2 linked regions of the Astyanax mexicanus genome follow. The protein of the gene in region 1 purifies or fractionates together with the protein of each later gene. This does not show direct contact. Links are inferred from orthologs where the notes say so. Each region holds a gene or a part of one and is shown in the gene's direction. Other genes may lie near its edges. The genes, in order: mitogen-activated protein kinase kinase kinase kinase 5-like and nudc.

What was found.
Region 2: the proteins of mitogen-activated protein kinase kinase kinase kinase 5-like (region 1) and nudc purify together in Homo sapiens (affinity purification with mass spectrometry; 3 studies listed by BioGRID and IntAct, with this or other methods). This does not show direct contact. The link is inferred for Astyanax mexicanus from reciprocal best matches to the Homo sapiens genes MAP4K1 and NUDC.

The regions. Positions count from the first base shown.
Region 1 is NC_064425.1:7,410,402-7,427,607, reverse strand, and holds the start of mitogen-activated protein kinase kinase kinase kinase 5-like, read left to right. Parts: upstream 1-8,323; 5' UTR 8,324-8,499; coding exon 8,500-8,592; intron 8,593-17,206. UniProt on the Homo sapiens protein: Serine/threonine-protein kinase, which plays a role in the response to environmental stress. Appears to act upstream of the JUN N-terminal pathway.
Region 2 is NC_064410.1:21,450,559-21,467,248, reverse strand, and holds the start of nudc (nuclear migration protein nudC), read left to right. Parts: upstream 1-9,794; 5' UTR 9,795-9,910; coding exon 9,911-9,985; intron 9,986-11,527; coding exon 11,528-11,605; intron 11,606-11,738; coding exon 11,739-11,954; intron 11,955-12,097; coding exon 12,098-12,178; intron 12,179-12,582; coding exon 12,583-12,696; intron 12,697-13,133; coding exon 13,134-13,328; intron 13,329-13,422; coding exon 13,423-13,506; intron 13,507-14,839; coding exon 14,840-14,958; intron 14,959-16,690. Other genes in the region: nr0b2b (nuclear receptor subfamily 0, group B, member 2b), read right to left, coding at 3,249-3,487, 4,455-5,019. UniProt on the Homo sapiens protein: Plays a role in neurogenesis and neuronal migration. Necessary for correct formation of mitotic spindles and chromosome separation during mitosis. Necessary for cytokinesis and cell proliferation.

The DNA.
Region 1 (17,206 bases):
ATAGTTGGTGTAGAGTGTGTGTATGTGTATAGTTGATGTAGAGTTTGTGTATGTGTATAGTTAGTGTAGAGTGTGAGTATGTGTATAGTTAGTGTAGAGTGTGTGTATGTGTATAGTTAGTGTAGAGTGTGTGTGTATGCCTGTGCACGTCAGATCCGCCCGCAGAAAGTACACTACAATGCATAGTGTGTGTGTGTCATAATAAATGTACAGGCACATTGTGTACGTGTAAATGTGAATATGTGTGTAAGTATATATTGCATGGGGTAGTCTATGCATGTGTGTGTGAGTGTGTGTTGGGTCACGACGTGGGGGATTATGTGTGTATGAGTTATTGGGGGTGACAGAGGGTTGTGTATTAGGGGCCGGGTGGCAGATTTCTCCAGCCTGTTTTAGACACACTAATCTGGCTTTAGCAGCAACAGTGTGTCAGCAGTGATGCTGCCTGGACCTCCTTAGAGACGCACACACACACACACACACACACACACACACACACATTGGCAGTCCAGTTCTCCAAGGCAGTGGAGGCCCAAACTCCGTCCCAGCACTGCCTGACACATACATACAGAGAAAGAGAGAGAGAGAGCAGAATAGAGAACGAAATAAAAAGAGAAAAAAAGTTTGTTCAAGGGTTCATTTCTATCAAATGGCAAGTTCTAGACCGGCTTAGTGGCTCAAACACTATAACACTATACCCCTGCACACATGATAACCTGCAACCATGTAACACTGTACCCCTGCTACCATGTAACAATGTAACACTGTACCCCTGCAAACATGTAACACTGTAACAATGTACCCCTGCAAACATGTAACAATGTAACACTGTACCCCTGCAAACATGTTACACTGTAACACTGTACCCCTGCAAACATGTTACACTGTAACACTGTACCTCTGCAGACATGTGACACTGTAACACTGTACCCCTGCAAACATGAAACAATGTAACACTGTACCCCTGCAAACATGTTACACTTGTTTACACTGCAAACATGTAACACTGTAACACTGTACCCCTGCAAATATTTTACACTGTTACACTGCAAACATGTAACACTGTACCCCTGCAAACATGTTACACTGTAACACTGCAAACATGTTACACTGTAACACTGCAAACATGTAACACTGTAACCCTATACCCCTGCAAACATGTTACACTTGTTTACACTGCAAACATGTAACACAGTTCCTGCAAACATGTTACACTGTAACACTGCAAACATGTTACACTGTAACACTGCAAACATGTAACACTGTACCCCTGCAAACATGTAACACTGTACCCCTGCAAACATGAAACACTGTAACACTGTACCCCTTCAAACATGTAACACTGTGACACCGTTCCCCTGCAAACATGTAACACTGTAACAATGTACCCCTTCAAACTTGTAACACTTTAACACAGTACCCCTGCAAACATGTAACACTGTAATACTGTACGCCAGCAAACATGTGACGCTGTACCCCTGCAAACATGTAACACTGTAACACTATAACCCCTTTAATATCTTTATAATACTTGTAATTTCATAATATTGCTGTAACACTGCAATGTTGATAGGGTAACAGCTGTTACTCTTCAACGATGTAATACTGTAACCCTGCACATCCATTTCCCTGCAAACATGTAACACTGTACACTTGGACAGATGTTACCCTGCAACCACGTAACACTGTGATGTTGAAAGCATGCAACATTTTAACCCTGAATCCCTGCAACCCTTTGACCATGTCTCACTGTAACACTGTAACCCAGAATCCATGCACACCTGTTACCCTGCAAACATGTAACACTGTAATGTTAAAAGGGTAACACCATTTACTCTTTAGCCATGTAACACTGTACACATGCACACTGTAGCCCTGCCCACCTGTTACCCTGCAAACATACAACACTGTAACACTGTTACCCCATTGTCTTTGTAATACTTTAATGCTATAACACTGTAATGTTGAAAGCTTGTAACATATTGCTTTATTATTAGGTCTTTAAGAATTAATTAGTTGAAGAGTTAGTTATGTCTAAGAGAAAGTAAACATTAAAGTTTTTATTTGGACATAATGTATCATAATGGATTGTCCACAATATGCATATAGAGAATGTGTGATGGGATAATAAAAAATATTTTTGAAGGACTAAAAAACAGATTTATTCTATAACATAATATAATAACTGTAGATTGTTAAGTACTAAGTAAACGGAAGTTTAAGCTATAATGGTCCCCAATATCATTATTCTGAACTTCTTTAGATTATTGATATAAATGGCAATAACAATTACTGAAAAATGAACAGTATAAAGTATAAATGTATTTTCTTTATTTTCCTAGTTATTTTTTATTTTTACTTTATTATTTCTTTCTTATGTTACATCAGTGCGTTTCTTAAATGCAGAGTTCATGTATATAACAGAAATAAACACAGTATAAGAAGATAAAATCACACTGTATTGTTTGTTTTTGTTGCAGGTCTGGGCAGCTGAACCAGGGCATGAATAAAAACACAGCACTGAATCCAGAGAACTGCAAGGTTTAAATAAGTTTATTAAGACACTCACAAACAAACAAACTGCAACAAATTCATGTACACAGACAACACTATCCAAAAAACAGATTTATTTTTGTCAATTAGAATATACATCAAATGCATTGATTACAATACCTGAATCATTTCAAAAATACATGATACAATACATTGTGTTACACTTCTGAATGATCGGCTACAGCTAATAGTCCAAATTATACGAAAGGTTTCGATAATTTTTTTTAAATACACTGCAAATTTGCACATAACTGCTATAGTTCTTTGATTACATGTATTTAATATATTGTAATTGGCATTATACATCTACAATTCTGTTTTGTAAACATGTAAAATAATTGTTCCATATACACATCAACATGCATGACTTTTTATACTGTTTTTTTTAACTAAAACACAAATCTAGCACATTTATTTTCTATTTTTTTTGTAATGCCATTATTTTTTTCTGTCTTTGTATGTGTTTATAATCATGTACAGTCATTGTGCCATACACACATACATGTGTTATTATTACATATGCCATGGCATTTTGACAAATTTGACTCAAATATAATTAAATACATTTTTAATTGAGCACTTCCAACAATAACAAAAACAACCCTATAGTAAATTAAATGTAATATTAAATGTGATTTGATTAGACTAGATATGTCATTCTTGAAGACACTTTAAATAATATACAATAGTAAAGACAATAACTGATTTGATGGTTGATATATGGTTATTTGTTTGAAGGGCTAAGTGTTATTCTGTTTATTATTGTATCAAATGCACCAAATGCATTAAATTTGCTTTAATCTTCTGTATTCATTTATATATAAACAATTACAAACATAGACACAACAGTATACACAAGTAAAAAGTCAAACTTTGGATCAAGCATGTTTTTTTTTAACAATTTCAGTTTATTAATGCAAAAAAAAAAAAACCCCAAAAAAACACTTTTCATTTATTTTGTGAAATACAATGTAAATATGGGATAGCTGAAAACTGATAATATCAATAAAATACATTACTTTTCAATTGTATGTGAGTTTTAACAAACTTTGTATGTTTAATATTTTTGTACATGTTAAATGTAATCCTATATCTGTTAGAGTGTTGATAGTAAAAGCTGTAGAGTGTGTGTAAAGCTGTAAGAGTGTGTAACATTACAGTAATAGGATAGTGTAGTAGTGGTGGTAGTAGTAGTGTGGAAGGATATAAAGTCTTACACCACAGCTAATAACACCCTGTAGCACACAACTCTCTCATTTCAATACATTTCACACTTATACTCTTAATGCTGTGTGTTTGCAAGGTAAGTAAATGTATGTAAAGTCTTGTAAAGTCTTCATAAGACATTAATAAACAATATTAAGAAAATAAAATATAAACCCTTTTGAAATGTGAATGTTTCTTGTGCAAAACTTTTTCACTGACATTCCAAAAGTCACCTTTACAGTAGGCACCCATGATCACTTTCAAGATTTTCCTTTATAAATCGTTGGTTGTTTGGTTCAGGAATTTCAGTTAAATATATCATATAGCAGAAAAACACATTGATATTTGAGAAGTAAAATGAAGTTTATAGGATTTACAGAAAGTGTGCAATAATTATTTAAACAAAATTAGGCATGTGCATAAAATTGTGAACCCTTATTTGTTAGTTGTTTTAATGATTTTAATACCTTTAGCACTAATTATTGAAACACAAAATCTGTCTCATTCGCCCTTGACCTACATTCACAGGTGAATGCAATTATGAGAAAGGTTAAAGTGAACAATTGCAAGTTTTTCTCCTCTTTGCAACTTCTTTGAAGAGTGGTGTTCCGTCGAGTTATGCTACCCATCGATACGTGCTTCCTAAAGGTACTGTGCATGCTCTGAACTACACTTTTTAATTATTTTTTTCATTATTTGTTTTTATAATAAATCTTTTTTCTGTTTTTTTTTTTGTGCATTAAACAACCTGGACTCACTGTCATTGCACAAAAGTGTAACAGGCCAGGATTCTTGTGAATTTTCTGCCTGACATTACACCACGAAATCTTGAGGATTTCTATTTAACCATTACATAAAAAGGTTTCATGTTTGATAAGGAACATTACTGAAAATTATGAGTGTAATTATAAAAGAAAGTATAGAAATATATTGAAGTAAATCAGCTGATGTCAAAATGTAATGAATAAAATAAAAAAAATTAGGTCTTTTGTCTAGTTTTTACGTCTATTTTTAAACCTGCAGAATTTGGTTGATTGCTGTTTCTGATCTGGAATTAATAAGTGGAGTAGAGAGAAAACAGGCAGCTTCTCCAAGTGTCCTGTAGGAGATTATTCAGAACGTAAATAAGTTATTTTACTGCAGAAAAAAAGGTTTTGTATCACCTACACCTGTAGCCTGTATACAGGTCAAGGCATGTTAATAGGTTAAAGAATTACTGCACACTTTCTGTAAATTCTATGAACTTCATTTCACTTCTCAAATATCACTGTGTTTATCTGATATATGATATAGATTAACTGAAATTGCTGGTCTGAACAACCAATGATTTATAAAGAAAAAAAAAACATATTAATGACCAATATTTAACTTAACCAAGATTTTAGACCTAATTATAGAAATAATATGTATATAGCAGAGGCTGTTTCTGTTCCCTTGTAGAAAGTAGACGCGTATGCTGTCCAATGGAAATTTTTGTCGATTTTAATTTTACTACATTATTTGAACGGAGCAACTGTCCCTTACACTGTGCCCAAATTTCTTTATGAACGGACCAATAGAAATACTTTAAAATGACCTGAAATAAAGTAATTTTACATTGCCTTCAGTTGAAAGTTTAGAAGGATTTTTCTGTCTCCTGTAAAGTTGCTGTTTTGGAGATACTTGTTTTTCATTGGACAGCGACTATATAAATAGTAGAAATTGGAAATAAAGGGTGATTTTTTTAATTTGAGTTTAAATCATACAGAAAGAACAGAGGATCTGAATAAACATATAATATCTAAGCTGCTCTGTATGTAAAAGGTTGTTTTTAGGATATGTTTATTTGCATTTGATGTCAAAATATTTCCTGTCTGAACACCTGGAGGTGGTGGAGACTGTGACAGTGCATTAGTGCCCTCTACTGGTGCTGCTGCAGTACTGATAATAAACTTCTACAGTTATACAGTACCATGTTCTGCACTGTAGATTAATAATTAATTCATCCAAACTCTGAAGAAAAATAAATTTAATTATTTAGTATACAAAAGTGTTTAAAATAAACCAGAACATGTTTTATATTTTAGATTCTCCAAAGCCTCACCTCTTTTCTCAGTCAGCTTTATGAGGTAGAGTCACCTGGAATTCAGGCTTTCAGTTAACAGCTGTGCTGAACTCATCAAGAGTTAACTACTTGAATTGTCTCTTAAAGTGTTTGAGAGCATCAGTTTTAAAGTAGTGAAGAGGTAGAGTTGGTATACAGAGAATAGCCCTATTTGAGCAATGCTCTAATCCATATAATGGCAAGAAATACTCTAAAAAAAACTAAGGAAAGGAAAAAACTGTAAGAAACGAAGGTCAGTCAATCTGAAAAATTGCAAGAAATGTCAAAGTAAAGACCATCAAAAACGTTATGATGAAACTGGCTCTCATCAGGACTGCTCCAAGAAAGGAGAATTGTTTGTTTGTTTAACACTTTAAATGTACTACATGATTCCTTATGTGTTCCTTCATAGTCTGAATGACTTCAGTATTGATTTGCAATGTAGTAAAGAATAAAAATAAAAACACTGAATGAGAAGTGTGTCCAAACTTTTGACCGGTTCCTGTACATATATAAATATGATGGAACGACATGTAATTCTCTCTCCCTTGGCCAACAGATGGCAGCACAAAGTCAAAATGTATAAATTGTTTTTGGAGTCTGAATCTGTTGGCTATTAGGGGTTTATTTATCCTGAGCATCAGTTCAGTCTAACACAGTTATTTATATATTTATATATTTATATTACACACTGATGCAGTAAGGTGACCCTGGCTGGACAGAAGTGTGTGTAGCTGGTGCGGGATCAGTGTGAGTGTGAGTGTGAGTGTGAGTTGAGATAAGGCCCCAGTGGAAGCAGTTTTTCTGGTTTCAGTTCAGTGCTCTCGCCACACTACAGGAAGCTGAACCTTTGCAGAGCACACTGCACACACACCACACACACACATGCACACACACAGTTGTTTTTTTACACTGTGCCACATGATTAGATCAAAAGTACATGTATAATCCAATACTTCATATACAGATATATAACACAGAGAGACAAAAGTGTTGGGATACATCCTGATTAATGGTTTCTTGTTGTTTTATTCTGCTTTTGTGGGAGTAACTGTATCTACTGTGCTGAAAAGTCTTTTTACTAGATTTTGGAGTAGAATGGCTGAGAGGATTTGATTGCATTCATTGACCAGAGAGTCAGTGAGGTCAGGATATTGGATGACCTTTTATCAAAGCACCAGTATAATTCCATAGAACACAGTTCATCTGCTCCACAGCTCAATACTGTAAAATATCTGTAAAATATGTTTTCTTCTTGAGAAAGGAGATGATCTGATCTAGTCTGATCTTTGCTCATAAATCATTTTAAATGTTACGCTCTTTTAACGACAGCATTTACTCTCATAGCTTCTTCCGGATCAATGGAGGGTTTTTAGTCTGGGTAATGTAAGTCTATGGGTTTAGTAGTGAATTAACCCCATAAATTGTACTGAAACATTTATAGGAGATACTGGGCCCTATCTTACACCCTGCGCAAGGTGCATTGTGATGCTCATTGCTATCTTACACCCCGCCAACAGTCTATTTTCACTCTCTACTAAATTTAAGTAGCAATTGTGCTTGTGAATATATCTACACTGATGGGCGTGGTGGTCTTGAAATGAGGTGTGTTCAGGTAAATTTCTGGTGTATTGCTATCTTGGCAACAGAAAACACAGGTACGCCAATGACTGAATACAAAGTAGACAGACATCAACAGTCAACAGATGTTCATTGCTATCTTGACAACACATTTGCACTGCACATACACCTTAACTTGTTACACACACATTAACACAGCAGTGCACAAACTTAACTTTTGCATCAGCAATAAACAGAATCAAAGTGAGAATGTTAGACACGTCCAGGTAGCTGCGCCTTTAAAATAGCAATTCACAGTCAGAGCGCACCTGGCTCTTAAAGGGAATGACAAGTGACACACTGATTGGTTTATTTCACATTATGCCTAAAACACACTCACGATTATTAATGAACAATTAGTACATGCCTTTCGTGCCATGTGTGTTTCAAACCGCACAAGTCATACTTTTCCTGACGTTACGATAGCAAAGACACAAAGACACAGGATCCACTTATTAATTCACAGTAGATTCCAAATAAATTATAGCAACGACTGAATCATTCATAATTAATTGTTCCAGAGAGTTTTTGGTCTGAAAAAGTATGACAACATACACACACAAACACACACACTATTCACAAAACACATTCACACCTTCATACCACCGACCACACAAACACACACAGTATCATCTGTTTCCAACTATTACACACACACACACACACACACACACACACACACACACACACACACACACACACACACAAAAAAGGAAATAAAACCAATCTTAATTTAAATGAACCACAAAGTCCCTCAGTGTGTGTGAGTGTAAGTGTGAGTGTGTGTGTCAGTGTGTGTGAGAGAGAGAGAGAGAGCGGGAGGGTGAGGGAGGGACAGAGCCTAAGGAGGAAGGAGTTCACACTGCTCAGTTTAGTGAGAGAGAGTACGAACAGCACTGAAACCTTCTCTCTCTGCAGCTGTACGAGGGAACATTCTCACACACACTCTCACACACACACATACACACTCTCTCACACACACTCTCTTACACTTACACACACACACATGCAGGAGAGTAAGTGTGTCTGCTGGCTCGATGGACGTTCTGGACATCTCCACTAGGAACCCTCAGGATGATTTCGAGATCCTGCTGCGGGTCGGAGGAGGGACATATGGAGAAGTCTACAAGGTCAGAGGTCACAGTTAGGCCACTTCATACGGCCTTTTCTTCCTCAATCCATTTCCAATTTATTTTAATAACCGCCAGCTAATAAACGGCAGCTTTATTACTATTATATAGATCTGAATGCAACTGCATAGCTAACATTGTTTGGTTTGTTTTGTAAAACATTTGTTTTCTGATTGTTAAAGTTAACATTCTTAGAATGATGAATCATTTCAAGATTAAAAATAAAAAATACATATGTACCAATGTTTAAGAGCAAGCTTAAGACTTTAGATAAAGGAATTATGATGCAGTTTTCAACACCTGCTCTGAAACTAGGAATGTTAAGGTAGCTTTTGAAATTGACATATTTGTTTTTAATAAATTAATATGACCACTATTTTAAATGTCAAGTATATGCTGTATTATTTAGTAACTACAATGACTTATTCAGTTATTTGTATTATTCACTATCTCCTATGAATTATTCTGGAACCACTATAAACCCCTCAGTAAGCACAATGAATTATTTAGTAACTACTACTAATTAATCTTTACCCACTATGAATTATTCAGTATCTACTACAAATGAGCCCATATGAATTATTAAGTAACCAATATGAATTAATCATTATCTACTTTAAACTTATCAGTTACCACTATGAATTATTCATTAACTACTATAAACTTTTTAGTAACCACTATGAATTATTTGATAACCACTACGAATTATTCTGTAACTACTATAAACTTTTCAGAAACCACTATGATTTACTCAGTAACCTATGAACTATTTAATAACTACTATGAACTCATGATCTACAATAAATTATTTAGTACCTACTATAAATAATGAAGTATCTACTATAATGTATTGTGTATCTATTATCACTTCTAAAATTATTTTGAATTATTCACCATCGACAATGACTTTTTCAGTCTCTACTATGAAGTATTCCTTTACCGTTTAAAATTATTAAGCGTCTACTATAAATGACAAACATACTAAAAATACATATCATGATTTGTTCAGTAACCACTACAAACAATTCAGAATTTACTCTAAATGATTTAGTATCTGATGTGAATTATTAAGTTCTACAGTGTAGAAATGTGTGCTGCTGCTGTTGCAGAATGTGTTGTGGGGTTTTCTAGCCGTTCATTAGAAGAGCTCAGCTCTGTTTCAGTGGTTTGCTTTTCTTCTTCTTCATCTCTGTGAAAGATGTTTTTCTTCCTGAGAAAGGAGAAGATCTGATCTAGCCTGCTCATCGTTCATTAATCATTTTAAGTGTGACGCTCTTTTAATGACAGCGTTTACTCTCACAGGGCTCTTCCGGATCTCTGGTGGGTTTTTAGTCCGAATGATATAAGTCTGTGGGTTCAGTGGTGAATTCCATCAATACATCTTAACCCCTTAAATTTTAATATACTGAACAAACTGTAGGAGGTACTTAAACTTCATACTCAAAAATAATTTACAGTTTGTTTTTGCTCTCCAGTGAAATATATAGATAATTTGAACACACAAACTGTCGCTTACACTGTGTCAAAATATCTTAAGGAAAGGACTATTATAAATTCTCCAAAATTACCTGAAATAAACTTTTTTTAAACTAAGGAATTGAGGTTGACTAAGATTGGGGTAGGTTTTTAACTCTCTCTTGAAAAGTTGCTGTTTTGGAATATACAGATATGTACTAAATACGTCATAGTACGTACTGGACGCTTTATTGAGAACACTGAATAATTCAGAGTAGATAATGAATAAATTGTAGTACAGAAGAATTCATAATATACAGTTTACCCTAGTGTACACTGTAATTCCGATTTTCTTTTCTGAGTTAAATCTACAACCTAGCCTACGCATATCCTATGTATAGCCGTGTACCATATACAATAGCCTACGCCTTAAAGGTAATTTTTGCTTCTAATTTAAATCTGTACCTTAGCCTTTGCATACTCTATGAGTAGCCATGTACCATAAATCATAGTATACACCTTACACCCAATATATGCTTCTGTGTGAAATCTATACCTTAGCCTATACATACCCTGTGTGTAATCTTTCCTAACCCATATCTTATGTCTTAAGGCTAATTTATTAGCTTAAATCAAAGCTTTAGCCTATGCATAGCCTGTGTGTAGTCATCTATCCTAAATCATAGTATGTATAGCCATGCATGCTTAACCACAGTATATGCCTTAAAGCCAATTTATGCTTCTGAGTTCAATCATATATATGTACCCTACACCATAGCCTTTGTCTTAAAGGACTTTTTTCTGCTTCTGAAATGAATCTGTGCCTAAGCCTATGCATACTCCATGTGTAGCCATGTACCCTAAATCAGATTATATAGTATATGACTTCAATCAAAGCCTTAGCCTACATGTAGCATGTGGATATTTGTGTACCCTACACCATAGCCTACGTCTTAAAGCCAATTTATGCTTCTGTGTTAAATCGATGCCTTAACCTATGCATACCCGGTGTGTATTCATCTATCTATACTAAACCATATCTTATGCTAATTTAGGCTCCTGCATTCAATCTAAGCCTTAGCTTATGCATAGCCATTGTATAGCCGCATATGCTTAACCACAGTACATGCCTTAAAGCCAATTTAGGCTTCTGAGTTCAATCAAAGCCTTAGCCTCCACATAGCCTATGTATATGTGTGCCTATGCCTTAAAGCTAAATTTATACTTCTGTGTTAAATACATGCCTTATCCTATGCATACCCTGTGTGTAGTCATTTATCCTAAACCATAGCTTACGTCTTAATGCTAATTTATTAGTTAATTTGACTCTAAGCCTTAGCCTATTCGTAGCCACATATGCTTAACCACAGTATATGATCTGAAGCCAATTCATTCAATTCATGAGTTAAATCTAAGCCTTAGCCTCCACGTATCCTATATATATCTGTGTACCCTCCACCATAGCAACGCCTTAAAGCCAATTTATGCTTCTGAGTTAAATCTAAGTTAAATCTTAGCCTACATGTAACCTATGCCTTTAGGCAAATGTTTGCTTCTGAATTGAATCTGCGCCTTAGCCTATGCATACCGTATGAACAGCTTTGTACCCCACACCATAGCCTACGCCTTAAGGATGATTGTTGATTCTGCTTCAAATCTATGCAGTAGCTTATGCACAGCCTTTGTATAGCTGTATATCTTACACCATAGCCTAATTTTTAAGGACAATTTAATCCTTTGTGTTAAATCTATACCTTAGGGGGCACCAAGTGGTCCAGTGGTCTAATGCACTGCCTCTATGAACGGGAGGTCACAGGTTCAAATCCTGTTCATGTAGCTCTGCCATTAGCTTTCGGCACCCAGAGGGAGCACAATTGGCCTTGCTCCCTCCGGGTGGGTAGATGGCGCTCTCTCCCCATCACGCTAGAAGTTGGTGCCCGGCGGCACGAGGCGTCTGTGAGCGGATGTATCGGAACCTAGTCGATGTGCTTTCCTCCGAGCTTGCTAGCTGCTCAGGCAATGATGCATCGGCAGCAGCTCGAAAAAAGGGGTGACTGACTTCAAATGTGTCGGAGGAGGTGTGTGCTCGTCCTCATCCTTCTAGGGTCGACCTAGAGTCGCAGGTGCCACTGGTGATGGGGACGCACAAAGGGGTGGGATAATTGGATAAGCAAATTAGGAGAAAATGGGAAAAAAATCATAAAAAAAAATGTACACCATAGTACCCTATAGCAGGTGCATACCCTAAACCACAGTCTAAACGTATGCTTCTGTGCTACATCTATACCTTAGCCTATGCATACCCTATGTGTACCCTACACCATATTCACCGTCTATTTTTTTCTGTTGCCACACAAACACACATTAACATTACCAGTAAAAACTTTGGATATACCTCTTCTCATTCAATGTGTTTACTTAGTTTTTAGATTTTTTTCAGTGTAAATTTAATACTGTATTAAAGCTATACAGGAGCACATGGTGAATTATTCTGTAATCAAAAAAGTGTTAAACAAACCAGAATCTGTTTTATACTTTAGATTCTTCTAAGTAGCACATTTATCTTTGATGACAGATCTGCACACTCTTGGTATTTTAATCTCAGTGTCTTCATGAGGTGCTGAACAATAGTTGCTGCTTTTCCTTCACGCTGTGAAGCTCCAGCCCATCCCAGATCACCAGATCAGAGGATTGTGGAGGATAAACACTTTTTTAAATGCTTACTACATAATTCCACGTGTCCTTTAATTGTTTTAATGTCCTTAATATAAATCTACAATGTAGAAAAATATTTAAATAAAGAAAAACACGAAATGAGATGGAGCGTCGAAACTTTTGACTGATACTGTAAATGCCACTTAGTCAGACTACTCTGTAGACTCTGTAGAATGCGTGCTTCTGTGTGTTTCTGTTTGTGAAAGAGAAAAACTTTGCACGTATGTGCTTACTTTAAGATCAGCACATACAGTGAGCAAAGGTGTGAAGAGCTTTCACATTCATTACTCTGTAGGTAGAAGTAAAGATACTAGGGTTTAAAAAAATACTTCTGTAGAAGTTGAAGTATCAACTCAATCTTTTACTCTTTAAGTAAAAGTGTAAAAGTACTGGTTTCAAAACTACTTAAAGTATAATAAAAATAAAGTAACTTAAGGGTTCAAAAGCTGAGGCCGCACCACAGAGTACACGGATACATACGTCTGCTATGTTCTTGCTGGAGTGTGGGGTTGGGGGGGCGTAACATGATGTGCAGGTGTGGTGGTAAACCAATAGGGAGTCGGAATTAAATATTTTTACACTTCTCTACATCCAACCACAATCAGATTCACTCTGATATCTGCATAGAGATTTATCTGAAAAGGGTTTTTTTTATTGAACGATAAGAAGCCGGAATAAAAACAAGCTGAAATTAAATAGGATTAATGAGGCTATTTTTAAAAAGTACAGATAATTGTGTGAAAACGTAAAGATTAGAATCTGAAAAATAAATACTCCAGTAAAGTATAGATAAACAACATTTCTACTTAAGTAAGGTAATTAACTATTCATACTTTATTACTTGACACCTCTGCTGGTGTGTGTGTAGTTTCATGCTGTGTGTGTGTGTGTGTGTGTGTGTGTGTGTGTTAATGCGTCAAACACACCACGCCTGAAACAGACTGAACGGGGATGGCCGACAGGCAGGAAAAGGAAAACCAAAACCAAACTCACCCCACCTGCATCAAAAGAGGCTCCCTTGATACAAGACTGACTGTAACTCTGTTACTGTTATTTACCCTATTTAATCAACATTAAACAAACTAAACATTAAGCCCCTTTTAAAGAAGCACAAGGCGGCATTCAAAATGTCAAATGCCAGCTGACAAACCGCTATGACCATCCTACACATGAAGTTCCTCTTCATTTAAGACAGAAGAACCCAAATGGTGGTTTATGGTCAATTCCTATTTCATAAAACACCAGATGCAAAACTCCTGAGGTGGAGGCGACGACCGGGGCCTTGAAGTCAACAGGAAGAAAAAGTGATTTCCTCTGTTTTCAACGTCAGATTAAAGCATCTTTCATCTGCCTCTCTCTACACTACGAGACTAAAATCATACTAATAGTGAATTCCATTTTCAGCCTTCACTGCTCTACAGCATTAATGCATTTCCTTCTTCCTCTTTAGAGCAGCTGTGCCTTCTTCATGCTCAGATACAACAAGGGGGAGTCCAGACAAGGAAATACCTCTGAGACAAAACGATACAAAGTTTATTATTGCGTTTGTGTAAGAAAAAGTCTAGGAAAAAAGGACTCGCTTGGTGTCGTACACCATCAGCTTTCTTCTCTTTTCTTGTGTTCTTTGTTCTAAAGCAGTGTGCACCATGCAAATGAGGGGATGTGGGACCTTTTCCTTCCGAGAGAGAGAGAGAGAGAGAGAGAGAGAGAGAGAGAGATAGAGACTGATACTGAGAGATTAAAGATACGCAGTAAAACGGATAGTGTTAGACTCCCACACAACCTGATTTGATAATTAACTTGTGAATGTTACGATTTGCATCCCATAGGAAGGAGTAGAACTGCAGGATGAGTTTGTAAAAAGAAAGAGTTGTCAGACTTGAACTGGGTGAAAGGAAAGGAAGTTGTTCTCACTTTAAATACTCTACAAGTCTGTACAAGTTTGGACATACCTCGTCTCATTTAGTGTGTTCTTTCTTTTTACGATTTTTTACATTGTACATTTAATATTGAAGACTATATTAAAGCTATACATGAACACATGCAGAAATATTCTGCAAACAAAATGTGTTAAACAAACCAGAATATGTTTTATACTTTAGACTCTTCTAAGTAGCACATTTAAGAATGTAGCTTTGAGGACAGATCTGCACACACTTGGTATTTTAATCTCAGTGTCTTTATGAGGGAGAGCACCTGGAATAGTTTTCTCAGCATTTTAAGGGAAGGAGTTCCTGGAGGTGCTGAACAATAGTTGCTGCTTTTCCTTCACGCTGTGAAGCTCCAGCTCATCCCAAACCATTATCTCAGTTGATCAGGTTTAGATCAGGGGATTGGTCAGATGGAGGACTAACACTTTTTGCTGTTATGTGTGCCTAAAGGCCAATTTATACTCCTATGCTGTACTCTATGCCATACCATATGACATAGCCCGATGTGCACCTCCCCAGAAAAAAACAATGCGACACAGACAGCAGCAGCTGTGATTGGCCTGCCGAGCCCTGTGTTCCCGCCCACTACTTCCTGCCTTCATGGTTTAAACTGCAGGCCGACGCAAAGAGGCCAACCCACGCACACAGAATATAAACAAGTTCCGCCGCGTAAAGCGCTCGTACAGGCTACGCTGTAGGCTATGTATTGACTCGATGCAGAAGCACAAATCAGTCTTTAATTGTTTTCATAGATTTAATCCTAGAACACTAATGCTGGGTTATTTTTACACACATAATTTTTTCATGTGTTTTTTTATTGTGTTGCTGCTGTCTGAGCTGCATGGGACTTTGGGGCGCTTCAGGGAGCTCATTGATGTCATTAATGTTATGGTTGATTCTCTTCTCCCATCTATGTTTTTTTCAAGAGGCATTTGTTCAGGTGATTTTCATCTGATGTTAGTGATAGAGAGTAAGATATTTTATGGGTGTAATTTACTTGATGTTAGTGTTTGTGTGTTTAAAGGCGTCACATGTCCCAGGAATGGGTGAACCAAAGACCAAGTTCCCAGCAGCTTTATTTTTGTTTGTTTGTTAGGACATTGCCTGTTAAGGATTACCTGATTTTCAAATATTTGTTCTGCTTTTTATAAGGTCATCCATGGTACATTTTTTTATTTTTTGTAATGTTGTATGTTGTAAAATTAAAGAAGGGCTCCAAAACTTGTCATACAGTATATACCCAACACCATTTTAATGTTAGTGTTCTAGGGTTAATATTAATCTACAATATAGAATATAAACTAAAGAAAAGAAAAAAGAATGAGAAGAGGTATGTCCACTGCACAATTGTGAGTAATTGTAAACTTTAGAAAAACAGTGTTATTTTATAGAAATAATCTTATCATTAAAATGTAAATATTTTCAACGTTAGCTACAGAACTCTCCCAGCAGTTGTATCAGTAACTAGAACCTATGTACTGTAATGCACTGTAAATTCTACAAGTTGTTTGGATTGGAAGATTGAAAGAATGGAAGAATGATAGCAGACTGGTTGTTTTCCTGGTCCTTCTGGGTTTACAGACTAAATGCAGACATTGGTGTGGTTTTTCTTGTTAGACAACAAGTCAGAGTGTTTTGTTGACAAGCCTGCTTTACACAGGAAAATTCTGCTTTTAGACACATGACATGTTTTTACAATTAGATAGTGGAAGAGTGTTAGTATTAGGGATTTATGGGGGAATTTATAGAGGGAAAGATAAAGTCAGGTAAAGATGGGCTGTGTTACAGAAAGAAGTGTAAAGACAGATAAATAATGTTACATAGAATTTGTGAGTAGATTGACGGTACAGATGGGGTAGATACAGGGGGGAAAATACGTGTTTCGGACATTTTCACACCTACAAAGAATAGGGAGGTCTGTAATTTTTATAGTAGGTACACATTTCACATTTAACTGCATGATATAAGTATTTCATCACCTACCTACCAGCAAGAATTCTGTCTTTGACAGGCCTGTTAGTTTGTCTCCTATTCTGCACTCATTACCTGCATTAACTGCACCTGTTTCAGCTTGTTACCTGTATAAAAGACACTTGTTCACACACTCAATCAATCACAGTCCAAACTCTCCACAATGGCCAAGACCACAGAGCTGTCTAAAGACAACATGGACAAATCTGTAGACCTGCACAAGGTTGATATGAGCTATAGACCAATAGGCAAGCAGCTTGGTGAATAGGCAACAACAGTTGGCGCAAAAATAAAAAAAAATGGAAGATACGACCGTTCAAAGTTTGCCAGTGACCATCTGCATGAGGCATTCGAGAAGGTCATGTAGTCAGATGAGACCAAAAAAGAGTTTTGTATTGACTCTACTCGCCATGTTTGGAAAAAGAAGAAGGATGAGTAGAACCCCAAGAACATCATCCTAACCATGAAGCATGGGGGTGGGAACACCATATTTTGGGGGAGCTTTTCTGCATAGGGACAGGACGACAGAATTGTATTGAAGG
Region 2 (16,690 bases), on another chromosome or scaffold:
GGTAATTTAAGCAGCATATTTGTCATGTCTGTGTTAGCACATCCGGGATATTCCTGGAGGCGTAGTGCAGTGCAGTGCCAGGATTATAACTCATCTTTTATACGTTTCTGTTCCATTGAAACCAGGGAACCTTGTTCTACCTGCTGGTGAGGACATGATACTAGGAAGTATTTGGCCTCCAGCGCTGCATTCAGTGAGATCACTCCGCCCAGGGATGGCCTGTTTCACTGTTTCCACTCTCTGCCATTATTCTGAATGGTGTTGTAGAGTGACTGCACGTTTCAGCAGCTCCAACAGCAGAAAGCAACATTAAAAATGGAAAACATGGCCTAAATCGTTAGGAAAGCAAATAGCCTGCACTGTTGACTGAGCAGTGGCTCCAAGCGTGGTAAAAGTAAACAGCGCAACAGGTTGGACGAGTTTTATTCATGGGAAATGCCAGCTTTTATAGGCTAATCTTGAATACGCAGTAAAGTGAGAGGCAGTTAACAACCTTTCCCTAAAATGATTTGTTGTTTGGGAGGAAAACAGATAGATCAGATTTTTGGGGGATTTTTTACATCTATTTAGGACTACAGCATTAGGGACTCAGATGTTGACATAATATCTAGATGTTGGTTATGTTTGTGGCAGTTATGCTGTATTATAAAGACTTTATTTGTTGTTTCTATTGAACTGCAATTGTTCTCATGTTTTATTTGTCTTCTCTGTGAATTTGGTGACTGTTTTAGTTTGGTGGTGAGAGAAATGAACAGTTTCTCGGCTCTGTATTATGAAATTACTGTTTCTTTGGGTCAGTATCAAAATACTGTGCCTTTTGGCCCTCAAAAAGTAAAAAAAAAACTTGGATTTGTAATTTTTCCATTTTGTATGAATCATATTCATGATCCCACACATATTTTTTTCTTGTCTTATTCACAGTATATTTATACTTGCAGGCACGTGTAATGGACAAATTCAGCATGTGTTTTAGTCCCTTGAAAAGAAAACTGAAGTCTGAAGGTTTTGATGTCATTGGTGTCAAAGGTTACTTTCTTAAAGGGGTATAGTTACCCCAAGATGACAGGGTGGACTGGGAATTCTCAGGCATGTTTAAAGGGTAACTAAATCCCCTGATTTTAGCTGACTCCACCCTCAGATTAAATGTGAAAAATGCTAAAAAAAATTGGGAGGGGTAGTTAGGGTGGGTCACTGGGTGATGTATGGGTTTAGGGGCGGGGCAGAAGTAAGAACTGATTGGACTGAGCAGTGTACCACTGATAGTGGTGAGGTGCAGATGGTTGGATGTCACCTTTGGGGAGGGGGGGGGGGGGGCAGTATTATTGATAGACTGATTTGCATATTGTGATTTGTCTGCATACCAAAGTACACGGACACATCATCCTTGCCTATAGCACAGTTGAACCTGAGAGGGTTACTTCAAAGAAACACATTTCAGCTATTAATGAAACAAATATGGTTTAGGTTTCAGTGCCTCTTTAGGTAGCTTGATATTTTTATAAAAAAATTCCTACGTGAATCATTAAAATGTCTAAATTATTAAAAAACAATATTAAAAGCATAAAAGTGTAATCTCACATTACAAGGCCTGGCAAAACCTGTGGCAGCAAATAAAACTACAAGTGTAAAACAAGCAGACCACACCCCTTCTTCTGCCAAATCTCTTCCTGACTTATTTGATTTATTATTATATTTTAGTTCCTTGTCACATCTGACTCTATGGATATGCTGACAAATATACTTATGCCCGTGATTCCTGAATGTAATTTTCTTAAAATGTATCTGTTGATTTGCCCTGTGTCTGTTGTAAAGTGTATGAAGGAAGTGAGTAATAAAAACTTTAATTACAAAAACAAACAATATAAAGGATGTTATTTAACTTAACCAGGCAGCGCTGCACACATAGCAAATTGCCCACATCAGCGTTGAATTATTAGAAAATGTATTGTTGCACAGTGTTTGTTTGGAATTTAAAGAACTATGCTGTGGACACAAAAGGAATAGTATATTTATATTGCTATCTTTATTACAATTGCCAATGAGAATGAATAATACCTGTTAGAGGAGCCAGCCAGGTAACATTAGTATAATATCACGACCTCAGTGTGGGTTCTTCACTTGTAGTTGCAGGACATTACAGAAATAGAACACAAGAGGGCAGCAAATATTTAATTTTTTAAACAGGGTTATCTCTTCAAAATGAATATTCGGTGAAAGACAGATTAAAAAAGATTGTTAATCACGATGAAAAAAATATTACACTGGAAATCTTTCTTAGAAAAAATGGAACAAAAAAAAGGCTCTGTTACAATAAAACCAGATTGCTTGCCTTCATAAACCAGAATGTGATAACAGTAAACTTAAATATGCAGTTGTTCTTAAGTTGGAACTCCCCAAATACTCGCATACTTAATATAGCTAGATATAAATAAAGTGATCTAAAGTGGTTTGGTGTGAAATGGTTTATTGATGCTTTAAATGCACCTAAAAGACACCATGCATTATATAATCCATGGAGTCCCTACTTCACAACTTAAAACACCACAGGATGCTTTGTTTTGTGAAGTCCATGCCTCAAATGACCAGGGCCCAGCTTTCTATAAGCATCTTAGCATTAAGATCATCTTAATATGGAGAGAGAGTGCGTTTGAGAAACTCACCCCAGATCTGTTATGGTGGCACAAGAGAATCTACTCAATACTAGGCAGGTGATAATAATGCTATGGCTGTAATATAATTATTTACAAAAATATAAAGTAGACCTAAGTACACAGATGATGTCAAACCAAAACCCTGTATCTACAAATGGTAATTCTGGTAATGTAACATACAGTGTATTTGGTGAAATTATCATGTAGTGCAAATGTTGGCTGTTACTGTACTGTTTTTTACTTACTTTAATGCTAAAAATGCTAAAAACTGAAAAAATGATGTGTATTTGATATCGGCTGTGATGCTGTGCTTATCTGACACTGATAGCTGATGATGTGCAGTTCAGTTTCTTAAAGATGAATATGAGATATATAATAGTGATAACAGATATAAAAATGTTGACATAGACACGACAATTGTCATATAACAGATGCCCAATAAATGCTAAAAATAACATGTCTTACCTAAAAAACTAAAGGAAAAAGTGGACTCCTTTACTTAAACTGCTTTTTCTCTTTTTTTCTGTCAAAAAAATCCAAATAAAATTCTAAGTAGGATATGCCCAGTCAGTTCATTCCACAGGTCAAAAAGTGCTGTTAGCTGAAGAGTATCTCCAGCAGGAGCTCATTAATGTCTGTCTGGCCGATGATGGGCCTGAAGAACAGTTCAGTAATAAAGCTCTGGGCTACTGTGTGCAAAGCAGAGGCTGCAAGAAAAATGTTCGTGAAATGTCCAGGAATATTTGGATGAAGTGTGTGGATGAGTTCATGCAGTGCCTGCTGAGCCTCCTTCTGAAGTCCCCGTATCACTTTGTAGCTTATTAGATTAGAGATATCTGTAAAAAAAACAAAAATAAATAAATATTAAATATAGCTTTATTGTGTTTTTGCATTCACAACAAATTGGTTCATGTTATCTGCTTCAGAGAATCCTATTCTATTGGCAGTTTAATATACTTCTCTACAGGGACCAGGCAAGCTATTTCTGTCAGCAATCAGTGCATCTGATGAAGTAGCTAAATTAAAATTAATTTAGAAGACGTGATCACAAACCTTCACAATAATTCTTAATTTCCACACTATTTTACCTATTTAATCTTAACTTACACATTAGTCTATACTATTATACAAGTGTAGATACAAAACTTCTGATACTAAACATGCTAAACTAATTTTTAATATTTACAAAAAAAAATCATTGAATATACTAAACATTTCATCACAATAATTTCATAATAATCATTCACTTAAAACAATAACTATGTATTTAATGATATAGTGGCATTTTATTTTTTTATTTATTTTAAAATTAAACTCATTGTTAATAAATTATTTCAGATCATGTAAGCTATTTTGCAGAACCTTTAGTTAGCTTGGTTTCAGATTCTTCCTGGATGCCTTATTTACAGATTTGTTCTATTTTATTTTCAGCTAGCCTGATTTAATACATTTCTATAATATTTAAGCAGTGTTATGTTAAAACTGCTAGTTCTTGCTCTTTAGCTCCCTCTGCAGTGCATTTTGAGACACTTCGAAAGAACATGCTTTACACATGCATTTCTGGACAAGCTGAGAGATACAAAAAACCTTACTAAATGCAAAAGAAGCATGTGGGCTGAGGGGTTAGAGTAATATTACAGGATTTACGCAGCATAGCTCTTGTAAGCATGGTCTTGCCTGCTTTGCTAGAGTTGCCAGTCCCGGAGAAAACAAGCAACAGTGGCAACATTCCTCTCCTATCTTTCACAGTAAAGTAAAATTTGCTACTGTATACATGAAAACAGATCACTTTAAGATGATTACCTGGGTTGAATAATACTGCTCCCTTGAGGTAAGCATATTCTTTAGCAGTGAGATCCAGACTCCAGAACTGGTTTAAACACGATTTGAGGTTATAGACAGTTGCTAGGGTTGGTGATGAGTAGTCTGTGTCTCTGTGTTCTTGCTTTTGGTCGTTCAGCAGGATCTTCCGGAGGAGGCTGGCCGTTGGCATGTCCGTCACCTCGAACGTTACGTGCTCTTGAGCGAGGCCTAGCACAAACAGCGGCACCCAGCAGTTTTGAAGCAGGGACAGCTGATCTCTGGAGGGCAGTTGGTGAAAGGATGGAAGGCTTTTCATGAAGTGGACGGTTTTCAGCAGAACTGCAGACACTGCCTGGCAGGTAACCTTCGGGTTCTTCAGGCATACCAGCTTCTGCTGCTTGCAGTGACAGATGGAATGCATTCTGGAGCAGGCCCATTGGTTGTCTGGATGACCATAGCTGTCTTTTCGATTGAGAATGTTATAGAGGATGGTATGAGGATGGTGCTCCCATTCAGTGCAGCAGCAGTCTCTTTTTTTTAGATCCTCAGGTGAATACATTGTCATGTTAACAAACAAGTCGACTGAGATGTTTGCTCTGACAGATCTTTATCCAAGCATCTGAATGTCAACTCCTGGACTACCACACACAGTCTTATTTATACTGCCAGCCTCTGACTGTGACGAATCGTTAACCTTGACCTTTACGACCTGCGGGAGCGGTCACAGACTCGAGCAAAACAACATGACCCTGGACCGCGGAGTGGGCTAACGTCTCCACGTGGAGGCCATAAGGCTAATTCAGCCTGATCCTACACAGTGGCTGATCCAGACAGAAAAAGTGTGCGGGGGAAAGGGGTAAATGACATTTATCATGTTTACCCATCATTAACTCTACCTGTACCAAGACACCAAGGACTGAGACAACTATCTAAAAGATTTATTGGCTTTGGGCTTTGAGCCAATATCATCCACACTACTGGATAAGGGCTGTGAGAGTATTGTATCATATCTAAAAAAGACAGCTTCGTGAGGTTAATGGCAGTTAAAGGCACGCTGATCATAAAAATACATTTCCTTTTTTTGTTTAATAAATGTGGTGGGTTATAATTGATAAAGAATAGATTCAAACATTTTAGCCCACAACAGTTTAGCTACAAGCATTCATGCTTAAATGATAGGAAGTGTTCTATCTTGGTTTTATGTAAAAGAGAAATATAGGATAGAATATTTTCATTTAATTTTCCAACTATAGTTTATCTTGGCAAAGATCCATTAAGCTTAAGCATCTAGTGTGCCAACAGTCATGGAATAGCATTATATAAATTTATCATGAATTTTATATCAGGGGACAGCTTGGGAATGGCCACACCTGTAATGTGAAACACAATGAATTATTGCTACTGAAATGTATACTGCAAATTCTAATAGAAATAATGCGAAATAAATCTTCACATTATAAGGTGCACTGGGTTATAATGCGCATTAAAGCCAAACGAGTGCTGGATGGTAATCTACACAGATTCCTCTCCTGAAAATGTGAGTAAAGCGGTTGCGTTTATTTACAGTAAGCTTAGCAGCCAGCAGCTTTAGCATTAGCAGCTAACCACTAGCTCTAACCACAGTTAGCACTAGTAAATACTGCCGACAGGGCTACACTGAGGAACTCTTAGTGTTCCGGTAAGCCAGGTTGATATTAGCTAGCGGTTCATCGCATGTAGCTTGTTTTAACACGGTAAACATGGAGACTACAGTCCGATATACTCACCGCTAAATGTCGAAAGAGCTAGCACTTAGCGCGGTTAGCAGCTAATGCTACTACTGCTCCAGTAGTGCTAGCCAGCGTTAGCAGCCGGCTACAGTCTGATATACTTGGATATACTCGGATTAAAAGGCACACTAATTATTTTTGGGAGAATTAAAGGATTTTAAGTGCGCCTTGTAGTGTGAAAAAATGTGAGAAAATTATGGTTTTATCCAACAATGACAATATCTGACAGTTGTCAGATATGAAACCAGGCACATTCATAAGACCCAGGGACATCCCCTGCTGCCCACATGCAATTGCATGTATAATATTTTGTTTTTGATACATTAAAAACAACAATTAGGCTATTTGGTGGTGTACCACCTTGGTGTGCCTTATTATGTGGCACTTCAAGTACATAATGCTTGAAGTGGCACATAATACACCACATTCAGTAGCCTAGCATGCTAGAAGATGCAAGTCATGGTGTGGTTAATTGCACAGTTAGTAGTGTGTACAATTAGCCAACCATCTTAAATAGTTTTGAACGAATAGTTTTGTCGCTGTCCTATGACAAACACTTATCTCCATTATTGTGGATTTTTAGTTTACAACATAATTTGAACAGACAAACTGTCCCTTACACTGTCAAAATTTATTGATGAACGTACCAATAGAAACTCTTCAAAATGACCTGAAATAAACTCTTATTACACTGACTTCCATTAAAAGTTTACAAGGTTTTTTCTCTCTCCTATAAAGTCCCTTTGTTGCTGATCTTACAAATTGTTGTGCCTTTTTTTAAAAAGAAGACCTGGCTCAAACACTGGCAGCCGAAAAGGGAGCTGTATGTGCCTACATGCACCAGTTTTAATTTCATCATAAAAATATAAATTCTAAACAGGTTAGTTGCCATATTTCAGCTATAATTTTCATTGACTAGAAAAATTAATAAGATGTTTTAAAACGTTCACACTATGTTTCGATTGCTTTACTTAGTATATTTTGATATGGACCCTTAATACATATTAAAACTGGTTTGGTATCTGCATCTGCAGGTAACACAAGGTTTTAGCAAAAGTAAGTAAATAAGTGCATTAGGTGAAAGGTCTGTACTCATTTGTAATGGGTCTATCTGTATGATAGAGCTACTACAGATACATTATCTGGCTGACACAGAAAAACTGCACTGTCGGTCAATGACTGAACGGAGAGTTTACTAATCACTGCTCGTGTCAAGATACTGATTTGTGCAACATCCTTTTACAGCCTTTCTAATGAATATGCCAAACAGGACAGCTTGGTCCTACTGTATATTGCAGCTATGGGATGGCCAGCTTATGAACTGACCTGGATTCATAACAACCAGCTAAATAAATTATATTTTTTTTATGTGTGTAACAAATAAGACAAGTACTAGTTAGAATAGGCCTACCCAGATATGTTGTGAATTTCACAATAAGGAAGAAATGTATTAGATTCAATACAAATAATGGACAAAGTCCAAAATGTGCTAATGTGGAGCATCCAGAGAAAGTGGACTAAGGCATAAATTGCTAAAGCATTGCTTAAGCAGTTCCAGAAATTACAGACATGTTTCCATGATTAGCCTGCCACTTACTAATTAACAAATTTGTATGCAAAAAATATCAACAGCACATTTGTCTGACTCAACCCATTGTAACTACAGATGTGTTTCATGGATAGACATGTTTTATAGATGCTAAATAAAAACTCTGCAAAAAAGGTAACCCAGTATATATTGTATGATGCACCAGAGAAAAAGAGAAAAATATTTTTTTAATGTTTTCATTTCTTTCAATGATTTTTTATTTATTTATTTTACTCTGGTTCATTATATAATCTAATAAAAGATCATACAATATTTATACTTATATGTTGCTGATTTTTTTTTATTATATTTTGTATTATTATATTTCTAATATTTATTGTCTGCATATTTTATACTGTAATATAGTTTGGGGGAGTGTTCTGCTAGTCTTAGTAAAATTTTGGTTATTCAGACACAATTTGTTTGTATTGCAATGCAATCAAAATTATTTATGCCACCTGTTCAGATACTTCTCTATTTATAATATTAATATATTTCAAATATGTTTTACTTGTAAAAAAGATATTAAAATGAAGGAAATATCGCAATGCATGAATTACTTTATCACAAATTCAGATACACCCATATTCAGTCTGTAGATTTTTCTTGTAGAGGTCAATTTAAAATAAGGTTTAGGGGAACAAAATTGTGAGATGATTTTGCCATTTAAAAACATTTTTTCGCCTTTACTTGCACTGCATGTTGTCTGTTTGCAGTTTACATGAATGCACTATATGTGCTAAACTTTAGTTTAGTTAAACAGTCCTGGGCGTTTGGTGAGGAGCAGTAAACTCTTTTTGTCTCTGTAAAGTCTGTATTTACACGGATAGTAAATGTTCCAGGCGTTTCTAGAGAGTTCTCTCCGCGGGCTCTGGTTCCTCTCGGGGGAAATCTTTAATATGCGCGAGAGTCGTGACGTTTTTTTAGTTCCAGTATTTTATTGGCTCTCTCGCCTGTCCGTTAACTCTGAGGTGGTTTGATTGGTCAATCCTGGAGGCGGGTCCTGTAGCTAGGAAAACATTTTTTCGCCTTTACTTGCACTGCATGTTGTCTGTTTGCAGTTTACATGAATGCACTATATGTGCTAAACTTTAGTTTGTGGTAGACTTTTTTAGTTACATTCAGAGTGTGCAGACATAGACACCAACGTGAAATCATTTTGTTGTGCAGTAAAATGTCTCATACAGCACCAAACTACTAAGCATCTTTAGCCGACTGGTCACCAGATAAACTAGCCGCTCTAGCCCAAATCAATGATAGATAACGTTTTTTTTATTATGAAGTGTTCCACGTGCGCTAAAAAGTGCCCTTTTTCCCCCCTGAGCACTCGGCCCCCAAAATGTCTGTGCACGACCCTGGTTACATTAGTTTATTTTTGTTCAATTAGTTTATTTTTTTTACATTTTTCTGCTATACTGTTGTTATTATTTTATGTACTATAAATCTTGTTGAGTTACTATAGGAAATATACCTAGGTTTATACTTTTTTGTATCTACTGAATGTATAAAATGTATATTAAGGCTTATAGCTGCCACTCAGCTTATATTTATTCTAAATTAAAAAAATGTTTTGTCTTATCGCAATGAATACCATTATTGCAAAAAATACCATCAAATATCGTGATGTTATGTTAGGGCCATATCGACCAGCCCAAGGGGCCAGGCATTTTTTTTTTTTACATATTTACCTATAAATAAATCCAGCACAATTCGAAAAGAGACTCGGCTCGTGAGTTAAACAGTCCTGGGCGTTTGGTGAGGAGCAGTAAACTCTTTTTGTCTCTGTAAAGTCTGTATTTACACGGATAGTAAATGTTCCAGGCGTTTCTAGAGAGTTCTCTCCGCGGGCTCTGGTTCCTCTCGGGGGAAATCTTTAATATGCGCGAGAGTCGTGACGTTTTTTTAGTTCCAGTATTTTATTGGCTCTCTCGCCTGTCCGTTAACTCTGAGGTGGTTTGATTGGTCAATCCTGGAGGCGGGTCCTGTAGCTAGGAAGCGGCTGCGTGTTTTCCTGTCTGTGAATAACGTGCCTCCGCTGGTCCGCTGCTCCGCGCTGTTCGTTGTTTCTGAGCGCAGTCTGAGACTCAGGGCTGTTAGAAATGGGAGATGATGAGGAGAAGTATGACGGGATGCTGCTGGTTATGGCGCAGCAGCACGAAGGAGGAGTGCAGGAGGTAACGTGTGAAGCGAGCTGCGAGAACAAGAGCATCAGCAGCAGCAGGGCGGCTAGCTGGGTTAGCTAACAGCGGCTAGCCTGTGATGGACCTGATTTACTCGCCTGTCTGTTGATAGGGATTTGGTTAGGGTTTTATTCATTATTTCATTGAACAGCAGCAGCAGCAGCTATCCGTGCTGTGTTTCTGAGAATCTAATCTAGCACTGCTCCTGTGGTTGCCGTTATACGGGTAAAGTTACCGGTGTCTGTGTAGCTAGGTAGTTAGCTAACTAGCTTATTTAGCTTTTTTTTTATCCTAATAAACTATAAGCTTAACTAGCTAGTTAGGTTAGCTAACTTTAGCCAGCTTTTAACTTTAATCCCTGGGCATCTAGTCACAGACCTTCTCATAAGTAGCAGTTTTGATCTATAATCAACAATCAGTGTCTGCTGCTACAGCTAACATAGGCCTGTCACCATAACTGTATTTGTGGACTATATATTACACCCACATACAGTACCAGTCATAAATTAATATTAAAGACCTTAACAGTAAAGGAACACACATGGAATTACATAGTAAACAGAAAAGTGTTTGTCCTCCACAATCATCTTGAGCACAGTGTGAATTAAAGTATAAATCATATTCTGGTTTGTTTACAAAGGAATTCTGCATTTGTTCCTGTGTAGCTTTAATGTCTTAAATATTACATTTAAAATATAATAGAAAGTAATATAAAGAAGTAAAACGATTTGAATGAGAAGGTATATCCTAATATATATATATATATATATATATATATATATATATATATATATATATATATATATATATATATATACAAAAAAAAAGTTGCAGCAGTTCTTCAGGTCTAGGTTTAGAAACAGTATGTGATAAAAGAATGAGGTCAGCTGACTACCTGAATATACTGAATGACCAGGTTAATCCATCACTGTTTTTTTTTCCTTCCCTAATGGCAGGGGCATATTCCAAGATGACAATGTCAGGATTCGTGGGGCTGGAATTGTAAAAGAGTTCAGGTTCAGGGAGCATTAGATCATCATTTTTACAGAAATGACAGTAAATACTGAAATTGCAGCATATTTGTAAAAAAAAATTAATTGCCTATTTACATTAAGTAACGCTTTTCTGTTTGTAAATATTTTTTAATCACCTATTTACATTAAGTAACGCTTTTCTGTTTGTTGCAGTCCTCCCTCTATGTATGGAGGCACTTTTATTAATGCAATGGTTATTGCATTACCGGCTGAAATATTGCCGATGTTTCTTCATTCTCTTGTAATCAAGAATGCAAGTAAACAGAATTTGTGATATCAGGGTTATAAAAAAAAAGTTATGAAAAGTAATGATTAGGTCATATTTTTGTATTGTTCTGGATGTGTTTGGTTGATAATGGTAGCGAGCAAGTCATTTTATGTGCATCCTGTTCTGTCTCAAAGGCTCACTTAACTAATTATGCTGATATATTGTCAGTACCCTGACTTTCTGTGTAAACGGCAAATAGAAGAAATAACTAAATAAACACTTTTTTTTCTACAGTTGGTGAACACATTCTTTAGCTTTCTCAGACGAAAAACAGACTTTTTTACTGGAGGTGAATCTGGAGCTCCAGAGAGGGTGAGTTAATGTCATTGAATAGAAACAATCCCTTATCTTTTTTTTTTTTTTTTTTTTTTAGTTTTCTTCCAAATCTTTTTTTTATGTTTGTGTTTAGTAATATAGTGTGCTTCACTCAATCTTTACTCCTTAGTTGGTAAAGGAGGCATTTGCCCATCACAGTCAGCTGGCGCTCCAGGCCCATAAGGACAAACAGTCCAAACAGGAGAAGGAGAAGAAAGAGAAAGCAGAAAGAGCTGCTAAGCTGAAAGCTGAAGAGGAGAGAAAAAAGAAAGAGTTGGAGAACGAACCCAGAATTAAAGAACTGACGGATGAGGAAGCGGAGAGACTGCAGACAGAGATAGATCAGGTAAGACTGTCCACTAGTTTTCTCTTTTACAGCTAGAAGTTTACAGTACGTTTATTAACCTGATTGTTTTGTTTGATTAGTTGATTGGTTTGGCTTGGTGCCTTAAATCTTTTGCATTTCTCTATTGTGCATGATTTATGCAGAAGAAAGACAAAGAAGAGCAAAAGGAGAAAAAAGACACTGAAAGCAGTGCTGCCGATACATCTGATAAAGCAGAAAAAGGGGTGAGTGAGGAATACACATTTATGATAATGGGAAAAGAAAGATGTGGACATACCTAGGATGAATTTTGATCAATTTGCCGTATTCAGAGTCAGATGAACTGTCTCTGTCTCTGCCTGACTCAATTTCAAGAGTATAGTGAGATTTCCATGCAAATGAAATAACTTATGTTTCAGTCACAGCATACCGGTAAGTGTAACCGGTACTGGCATATGGGATTGCCATTTTACAGTGTACAACACTAACACTAACAAAACACTGGCAATCTGTAAAACTAAATGGTTTATATGGGTATATAATGCTTTTTTTTTAACACTAAAGTGTTCTGCTGTACATATATACTTGTACATATAGCTTGTCAAATGTTTTGTGTGGTAATCTTGAGTTTTACTGATGTGTCGTTTAGTCTGAATCTGAAGGAGAAGAAGATGAGAAGGATAAGAACAAAGTAAAACCTAATTCTGGGAATGGAGCAGATCTGCCCAACTACAGATGGACACAGTCCTTGTCAGAAGTGGATGTGAGTATATTTTGTGGAGCTTTAGTCAAGCTTGCCTTTTTGTTTCTTCGAATACAGATATGACCACACTAATGAGTTTATTTGTAATGAGATAAATGATGACTGTATCCAGTTGTTGCTTTATATTCTTATTTAAGCTCTGTGATTGTGGCCATTTATGTAAACATGCATGGATGAGTTAAAGTTTGTTGGTGTTTAGCATACGTATGCTTTTCTTGGAGGGGGCTGGTTGTTTAATAAATTGATATGCTTTCTTTAAATTTAATCACCTATTATTTATTTTTGTCTGAAATAAATAAATAGCTGAAGTGTATCCACCAGATCTTTACATAGAAAAATACTCATAAACCATTGACGGTTGTTCTTATTAACAGTACAATATCAAGTTTTTCAGTATCTTAGTTAACAAGATTTTGCATCTTTTATTTCATCCACAGTTGATAGTGCCTTTTGATGTGAAGTTCCGGCTGAAGGGTAAAGATGTTGTGGTGGATGTCCAGAGACGTTCTCTGAAGGTGGGCTTAAAAGGCCACCCACCTGTGATTGATGCTGCATTGTTTAATGAGGTGAAAGTGGAGGAGAGCTCCTGGCTTATTGAGGATGGGAAAGTAGTGACGGTTCATCTGGAAAAGGTAGGAGAAGAGAAATAAGTAACATCAAAAGTGTTATATGTTGGTCATAATTAATAATAATAACCAAATATAATATGTTTGACTCTCAAACTAGATAAATAAAATGGAGTGGTGGAACAAGTTGGTGACGACAGATCCTGAAATCAACACCAAGAAAATCTGCCCAGAGAACTCCAAGGTATGTACAGAGCTGACATAAATAAAGATTAGCCATTATTTGACTTAAAGGAAGCTCACTTGCTTCATGTAGCAATGTAAAAAATTAGAATTTAGAAATATATATATTTTTTTAAACCATACTTTTTCACACTATAAGGTACACTTTCAGTAAACTGAACTGAAACTCCTGTATAACACTGTACTTTAGCGGTGTGGCTTTACTGCTCTTTATAACCTGACTGGTAAAATTTATACACAAGACTTACCGGATTCTAAGGCGATTTTTGGCAAAATAAAAAAATTAAATGTGTGAGAATATTAAACCTTTTTTAAAGTTTAGTTCTAACTTATTATGTTGGTTGGTATTAGCCTATTCTAAAGCTATTGTACATTAGATCTTAATCTCTGTGCTGTGCCTACACTAGAGTCCTTGACTTCACTTAACTTGTATCTGGATTATTTTTTTCGCTATCATAGCTTACCGTTTGCCCTCACTGCAGTATTATGAACGAAAACACATTAACAATTGAAGCTTCTGAAATAATTTTGTTGCAGATTCTTGGTTTGTGGCGCCACATAGTGTGAGTATTCTCACTGGCCAATCAGTACTTTGCAAGCTTAACATATCATGCTTCAGTTCCTAAGCTACTCTTGTGGAACCATGAGTGAGCAGGTACTAAAGAACTCAGTTCTAGGTACCAGGTACCAAATTTGCTCAGCTCATTTGCTGAAAAGCAAGTCAGATACAGAGTCTGTGAAAAACTGGAAAAGTCATGGAGTTTAGAAAAAGCGAATTTCAGGCCTGAATATTTTTTGGAAAAATAAAAATACCCAAAAAGTTTAGGAAAAATCATAAAAAAAAAAGTGTTTTGGTTTAAAAAATAATTTAATGTTTGGGTAAATCCATCACATCTCGTTGCATTAACTAGCTGTCTATGTGGGTCCTATTTAGACTGGACTTTCAGCTTCAACTATAACCGTAAATTCACACAGTGAGAGAAAAATGCTGATTTAATGCTGTCTGGCTTTATTTTAGACACATATGTAAGGCAGAAATATTATTCAGCTTGTAAAATGTGATATTTCAAAGTTTCAAAATTTTAGGTGAGAGATTATTATATAATAACTTATAATTTTGACATGGATTTATAGTTTTTTTTTGCCATGTCTGTACTGATGTTTTAAAGATCGTATGGTCATTAAAATGTGCCACGAAGGCATGGAAAAGTCTGTTACAAAGTGTATGTACCCTGCATGTAGATAGCACGCAGTGTAAAAATGCCTTAACAATCCTGACAATATTGCCAGCATGTAGTATTATTATATGATCTGACCCTTTTTTCTTCATCCAGCTCTCTGATCTGGATGGCGAGACACGCAGCATGGTGGAGAAGATGATGTATGACCAGAGGCAGAAATCCATGGGCCTGCCCACCTCTGAGGAGCAGAAGAAACAGGACATCCTGAAGAAGTAAGTGACATTAACCTTGACTTCTTCACACAGACTTTCCACAGAAGCCGTACGTCATGTCACACAGTCAAGCTTCGTTAAATTCGAACAGAAACAAGACTAATTCCAGATTAGTTATCCAGGAAAACGTTGACATTGCTGATTGCAGCTGATTATTGTTGCAGCTGGAACAAGGAAATAACAAAGAGAATTGCATCAGGAATTTCTTAAGATGAGACTGCAGTAACCTCATGTTCCTGTCCCTGTTAAAAGGGATGGGTGTTAATCCAGATCATACAGCACCTGCAGCAGGGTGGGCTAGGGAGAAACGGCCTAACCGATTTATTAGAGGTCATGGAAGCAAGCTATGGTTTCGTTTAGGACTGTATGGTACAACGATATGTTTCATCTGTCAGAATAATGTTGGTTAATATTACGCTTTAAAACTACACAATTTAAAACAGTCTTGTTTTGCCATTTATATGTTGTGTGTATGTGATGTGCATGTTAAAAGCTTTGAGTGCCGGCGCAAATATTGTTTATGCTAGTTTTCCTAACAAACCGCAATAATTGTTTTTTTAAATGTTTTTTTAAATGGCAACCAAAAAAATTTAAAAGTGAAAAGTATATTTTATGTTTATCAATTTTCATAGTTTTGCAAGGAAAAAATATATATATAAAGCTCTGGAAATAATTAGGAGACCACTTCAGTTTTGGAATCAGATTCTCTGATTTTGCTATTTATGTGTTTGAGTAATTATTCTATAAACTACAGACAACATTTCTCCCAAATTCCAAATTAAAATATTGTCATTTAGAGCATTTATTTGCAGAAAATGAGACGATGCAGAGCTTTCAGACCTCAAATAATGCAAAGAAAACAATTTCATATTCATAAAGTTTTGAGAGTTCAGAAATCAATATTTGGTGGAATAACCCTGGTTTTTAATCACAGTTTTGATGCACCTTGGCATGTTTTCCTCCACCAGTCTTACACTCTGCTTTTGGATAACTTTATGCCACTTCTGGTGCAAAAATGCAAGCAGTTCATGCTTGCTTCAGCTTGGTTGCAGGTTATGTTCTAGATGTTCTGAGTTTGAGGATTTTTTTTTTCTTTTTTTAAAGGCTCAGTCCCATATATGGCTTCAATAGCAAAGCATGTGAAATTTTGAAAAGATCAATGAAAGTGTGGAAGATGTGTCTCAGTAACTCCTACTGTTACCGGTCAAGGACAGGTTATGCTCTTTTAACAACAGCCATAAAGTAATTTTATAAGCTCTGTGTCAGGCTGTGCAGGCTCCTGGAGTTACCGGGACTGGAACTTGCACACTGTTGCCAGGCTCATTTCTCTTGAATGACCTAGTGGTGCACAATACAAAGCTGGCCAGTGAATCAGCTTTGGCCTAATATTGTAATTGCACTTTTATTTACCCGTCATTCTAAATTTAGACCAGATGAGATCAGATCTATGCATGATAGCATGTCAACACCTGTATTGTTTCTGATCTTCTGGAGAATCAGCCAATGCTTGGGATTTTCCAATCACTGTTTTTTGTCCCCTAGTTCCATTCATTTGATTTTGATTATCTGCCGATACCGATTCCCTATCAAATAATTAACAATGCAGTGTAAAAAAACAAACAAACAAAAAAAACATGTGCAAGTTGATATTTTTTTATTGTTAGTTTGTATTGAAAAATTGTATTTTAACACACATTTGTTAGTAAATGTATTATATTTTACTAGCCTGTGC